Linked DNA regions of Daphnia pulex. The protein of the gene in region 1 interacts with the protein of each later gene in a pairwise test. Links are inferred from orthologs where the notes say so. Each region holds a gene or a part of one and is shown on either strand. Other genes may lie near its edges.

Region 1 (3,193 bases):
AGCCACGTGCGTACTAGCCATATAACTTATCATTCAAGGCCAGTTATCCTCTAAACCGGTTTCTGATTTTTACTATGTATTTGTTTAGATCCTTCTGATGTAGACAACGGCAAATCTATGAACGAAGTAGTATCCTATCCAAATAATCTGACTGTCCATGACTTGTATTTTTTTATGGCAATCCCCACGCTGTGCTACGAACTCAATTTTCCACGTACTTCCCGTATCCGCAAGCGGTTTTTGATCAAACGAGTCATCGAAGTATTAGTGGGAATGCAAGTTGTTCTGGGTCTTTTCCAGCAATGGATAATTCCCAGCGTTAAAAACTCGCTCGAAACATTCTCGGTTTGTCCTTTTTTCTTTATTCATTGATTCATCGATCATAAATCATACTCTTGTAATTTATTTATGCAGAAAATGGAACCTGTACCTGCCACCGAAAGATTATTGAAATTAGCGGTGCGCTACAAATAAGATATTCATATTTTTCTAATGAAACGATTGTTGTTAAACTGTTTTCTATTTTTACACAGATTCCCAATCACTTACTATGGCTCATCTGGTTCTATCTTTGCTTCCATTCCTATTTTAACATGTTGGGCGAGGTTCTTAAATTCGCCGATCGCGATTTTTATGGTGACTGGTGGAACGCGACTAATATCGATGTTTTTTGGCGCTCTTGGAACATGCCAATTCACCGGTGGGCCGTTAGGTATGTTTTATCTTAATTATCGGTTAATCCGTGTAATATAAAAATACAATTTTGATATTTAGGCACTTGTACATGCCACTGATCGAAAGAGGCTATGGTAAAACTGTCGGTTCCGTGTCCGTCTTCCTGCTCAGCGCGTTTTTTCACGAGTACTTGGTCAGTGTCCCATTACGAATGTTTAATTTGTGGGCGTTCTCTGGCATGATGCTGCAGGTATTACAATTATCACCTTAATCGATTTTTAAATAACTTAAATCTTTTACCCAGATACCATTGTCTGCCGTGTCTCACTTTGTCGAGAAAAAAGCTGGGCCGCGATTAGGTAATGTTTTGGTGTGGATGTCGCTCATACTCGGTCAACCTCTTTGCATCATGATGTACTACCATGACTATGTAATTACTCATTTTGGTAAAGACTTGATGGAACAGTTCAGCAAAATGCGATAGAATTCACATTGTCTAAAGTGCCACGGTGGGGTTTTTTCAACCAATTACTTTCCTGTTAACTATGCTGGTCTAAAAACGTTCCTCATGAAAATAATGGTGAAATTAGTCTCGAGTCTATTTAGTTCTGAAATATTGTCATTCCGCACACACGAGTTCTTTTTTATACTCCTTTTTTGTTACATGAAATAGTACTCAACTACTTTGTGATCTGCCTGGGATTCCTATTCTAGTTACTTATACCCCTTGTTGTCCAATGAATAATAAACCATGGATTATTAGCAAAATTTTGTCTTAATTTGTTTTTTTGTTTTTTTTTTTTTTTATTTTAAATACAGTTGATAACAATGTTGCATTGTCGTTTGCTGATTGGCTCATTGCGTTGCGACGCTTGAGGTGTGTAATCTATCTGGCAACCCGGCGCGTAAGAAGTTTGTCTTCATACAAGATGGCAACCACAGGAGTAGGATCAGCGGGTAATTCTTACGTCTCTAAATTTGGTTTTTAATTATTTAATTCGTATGGTTGACACAAATTTAATGAAATTCAATCAAACTTTACGTGTCTGACTTCATTTGGATCACTTGGCATATTATTGCCAATATCCAGGGTTCGGTTAAAATCGTATCGGTTTTCTGACTGATTAGTTGTTTTCCTTTTCTCCATTTTTTGCTGTCAGATTGTGTCAAAAAATAGAAAAAAAAATTTAATTGGTCTAACTCTTTAAAGAGATTATTTTTCTAAAGCTTATTTCATTTTCATATTATTGGCTAGCCATATTATCAAATGTATAAATGGTGGATATTGTAACCTTAGATGTGGTAGTGCCACGAAACTTTCGATTATTGGAAGAACTTGAACAAGGACAGAAAGGAGTTGGTGATGGAACCATCAGTTGGGGTTTGGAGGATGACAGTGATATGACCCTGTCACACTGGACAGGCATGATCATTGGCCCCCCTCGAGTAAGCTTGTATTTAAACACGCCTTATAACTTGATAATTATTTTGTGCCTTTTTTGTAGACTGCATTTGAGAACAGAATGTATAGTTTGAAGATTGAGTGTGGTATGAAATATCCAGAGGAGTGCCCACTGATCAGATTTACAACTCGTATCAATATGAATGGTGTGCACAACACAACAGGAATGGTAAATAATAATCTGACATTGTTTTTATATATTTATGGATTTCATTTATTTAACCAAACTATTGTTGGTAGGTTGACAAACGAATGGTGAGCATCTTGGTCAAATGGCAGCGCAACTATACGATCAAAACGCTATTGCAAGAGTTAAGAAGGATGATGACCCTTAAAGAAAACATGAAGCTGCCCCAACCACCAGAGGGAACCAATTTTTAAGTTGTTATTACGGAAAAAAATGATGTCGTCGTCGTCATGGTGGAAAATAATAAAAGGAAACTTTCATTCTTTCTTTGCGGAACGTTCATCCTATTGGCCTAATCCCCTTCTCAAAAATGATGTAAAATCTTATAGCTTCATTGGAATATAGGCCAATACACATGCAAGTCAAATATTTGATTTGGTTATGATTTATATCACAACCAAATAAACAGAAGGACAGACATTTTCAGTGTTCTTTTTCATCCGTTATCACGTTTTATTACATCACCTTAATATATAAATTTGTAATTCCTATTAGCTATTAGGAGTGGTATTGGGCTATTCGGCAGTATCAAGAACGAATTTACTGGCGCCACACTGACCATGCCATCTATCCAGGGAATGTCCAAGTAAGAATGTAAGCATGGCATCGACTCCTCCCCTTTTACACTTTCTTGTTTTCATTCGTATTTTCTTCGTGTCGTGTAAACCTCGCGTGATTAGTTTTTCATTATAGAAGCAGCACATTTCTCCCGGAAGGTTGTGCTGAATTTTGGATTATCATAACGTTATAGGGATTCTTTAGGAAATTATAATCATCGTTTTTAAGTGACAGTTGTTTTTTTGAAAACATTCGTGTTGTTTTTCCTCTTTTTTCCCCTCAGGACTCGTGTCTAAATAGTAACATGTTAA
Region 2 (2,765 bases), on another chromosome or scaffold:
TCATTCTGCAGTGTTGCTTCAGTTTCCTTAAATGCGAAGTGATAAAAACAATTTTTAAAATTTTAAAGACATTAGTGTAAAGAAATCTACCTGCAACAATGCTTCCAAATGGTCAGTTTCTTGAGTCAGAACATTCTTTTGCCCCACCAAGGACAAGAGTTTGCTTCGTAGCTGAGAATCTAGACGAGATACTATCAATTCTACCGCATGACGTATTTCACTCACTTTTTCATCTTTCGCTGTTCGGACACTTTCGACGTTACGCTCCTTTAATGAATGAGGCACATTTAAAAAAAAGATTGATATACTGGCAATGTTATGAAAACTAATGTTTTACCACATCTTGAACGATCATGCTTATTTCTAAAAGTCTTCTCCTTAGCTGGGCAATTCCGTCCCGAATTTTAGTTGCGTGAGTTTCGTACATTCCATCTAAAGGCTGATAAGAGAAGAAATTATATTATTTCTAATCTAATTTTTATCCTACAAAATTGTAATTACCTGAAACATATGGCCTGAATGAGTACCTTCCCAAAGTGCACATTTATGGCAAATACAGCTCTTGCAAGTGACACAATAGACTGAGAGTTTTTCACTGTGCATATCACACCTTTAAATATTAATTCATTAATTATTAACATGTTGATTCTAAATTTTCATGGAGATAAGATAAAAAATTACAAATCAGTGGTGCTGGCACTGTTTGACACTGAACTGGATGGTGTAACTGAAGGAGCACTCTGTAGCTGGAGGCTCTCTAATTGCTGAGTAACATCTCCAACCCATCGACAGTTGACAAGCTCATGAGGTCGGAGTGGAAGTCTGCAGTGAGGACATTGTGAGCGCTGTTCCACAAGCCACCGACGAATGCAGGCAAAGCAACAAAGTTTTGAGCAATGGGGACATAATCTTGCATCTCTCAATTTGTCCATGCAAATAAAGCACCTAAACACATCAGCAATACCCTGAAAAAGAAAATAAGATCATCGGTACTATACAATTATATTAATTTAGATGTGCAACAAAAGTCTCAGGGGAGATGTACGTGTTTAATCGATAATCGCTGATTTCAATGGAATTAACACAAAATAACTGAATAACATAAAGGAAATATACCTCCATGTTCCAAATAAATGAAGCCTATCAATAAGCTCAAAACTGGAATAGACAAAAGCGAGTTCGATAAACAGCTCTTGTCACGACTTGGATGACTACATCGACTATTTTACAAAGACATTCTACAACAATCAAACGACTTCAAGTGACCGCCCGAAGCAGAAATTCAAGGTTACACGAAGTAAACACCTTCTGTCAAATGATAATGGAGTTGATTTCTTGCCCAATAGATGTCGGAAATTTGCGGGAGGGCAGCCGCTGGGCGGGACCGCGGGAGGCGAAGAATGTAAAAAGTTAACTTACACGTCTGCTTTTTGCAATCACGTTCATTCACCTTGTGACATTAAGATAAGTCAGTTCTTTCTTTCTTTCAAGTCTCAGGCCATTGCAATAATATGTCTGGAAATCAAGAACGTACCTACTTGATGATCAAGCCTGATGGTGTTCAACGAGGACTCGTTGGTGAAATCCTCAAAAGATTCGAACAGAAAGGTTTCAAATTGGTCGCACTCAAGTTTCTGCAGGTATGATTGTAAAGTAGTTGTGTTCTGTATGTCAAGAAAATGTGTCATTTGTTCTGAATTGTGTTTTATGTATGGTGTATGTCACTATAGCCTACTGAGGAGCTATTGCAGAAACACTATGCTGACTTGTCTGGCCGCCCTTTCTTTGCTGGTTTGGTGAAGTATATGGCATCTGGACCAGTTGTTGCAATGGTAAACTTTTGTTACTTCATTTAGCAGTCAATTTTAATACATGCAATGTACGTCTCAGGTCTGGGAGGGTTTGAACATTGTTAAGACTGGCCGTCAAATGTTGGGAGAGACCAACCCTGCTGACTCCAAGCCTGGTACCATCAGAGGAGATTTCTGTGTTCAAGTTGGCAGGTAAGACTAGTTCTGAGTGATACTTGATAGACTGTACTTTACATTTGCCTTTAAATTAGGAACATCATGCATGGATCTGACTCTGTTGAGAGTGCCAACAAGGAAATTGCCTTGTGGTTCAAGGATGAAGAACTTGTTTCATGGCAGCCAGCTGCTAAAGTTTGGGTTTATGAAGACTAGATCCATTTAGAAATTTTTGTTGCCTTAAAACATATCAGATTTTATGGTTTAAAAGTTAAGAAAATATAAATCTGAAATAGAATGTCTTCTCAATTATCTATAATATTCTGTTATAACTTATAATGATTTGCTTGTTCATTATTGGCTTATTAGCCTCATAGCAATCTAAAAAAGTTATTTTTTGCTCTTTGAAATGAGATACATTTAATATTTTGAGAAGGTAAAAGTGAGTTAGAGAAAGTGATGCTATGCAACTGCAAAGTTGTTCATTTGAATAATCAATTTATTTTACATGTACTAAATTATGCCGAAATCCACTGCTTCGTGAAAATGTGAATATTGAAAGTACAGTGCTAATAAATTGGTTGTTTTGTTTACATTGTAGTTACAGTTTAGACGGTTACAAGCATTAGATTTTTATGATTCATACTAGAAAATTTTAGCCCGTCCAGGGCCGGTCCTTAGTTGGCCTAGTGTTAAGTCGGACTTTTTAGCAAAAGGCCTTCCTTGAGAAATCAGTGTTCAACGTGAAAAAGAAATTTTTCTTGGCACCGTTTCATCTGCTTTTTCGAGTATCACGTT

What was found.
Region 2: the proteins of ubiquitin-conjugating enzyme E2 variant 2-like (region 1) and nucleoside diphosphate kinase-like interact in a two-hybrid assay, tested with the Caenorhabditis elegans proteins (2 studies listed by BioGRID). The link is inferred for Daphnia pulex from reciprocal best matches to the Caenorhabditis elegans genes uev-1 and ndk-1.

Annotation. Positions count from the first base shown.
Region 1 is NC_060018.1:3,969,905-3,973,097, forward strand, and holds ubiquitin-conjugating enzyme E2 variant 2-like, read left to right. Parts: upstream 1-1,497; 5' UTR 1,498-1,604; coding exon 1,605-1,632; intron 1,633-1,972; coding exon 1,973-2,121; intron 2,122-2,180; coding exon 2,181-2,306; intron 2,307-2,377; coding exon 2,378-2,518; 3' UTR 2,519-2,693; downstream 2,694-3,193. Other genes in the region: diacylglycerol O-acyltransferase 1-like, read left to right, coding at 1-6, 89-345, 415-459, 534-712, 775-925, 980-1,159. UniProt on the Caenorhabditis elegans protein: Involved in protein ubiquitination, but has no ubiquitin ligase activity on its own. The uev-1-ubc-13 heterodimer catalyzes the synthesis of non-canonical poly-ubiquitin chains that are linked through Lys-63.
Region 2 is NC_060028.1:8,036,083-8,038,847, reverse strand, and holds nucleoside diphosphate kinase-like, read left to right. Parts: upstream 1-1,378; 5' UTR 1,379-1,511; coding exon 1,512-1,640; intron 1,641-1,730; coding exon 1,731-1,832; intron 1,833-1,890; coding exon 1,891-2,003; intron 2,004-2,062; coding exon 2,063-2,183; 3' UTR 2,184-2,265; downstream 2,266-2,765. Other genes in the region: E3 ubiquitin-protein ligase TRIM37-like, read right to left, coding at 1-26, 91-267, 338-439, 502-610, 682-965, 1,117-1,122.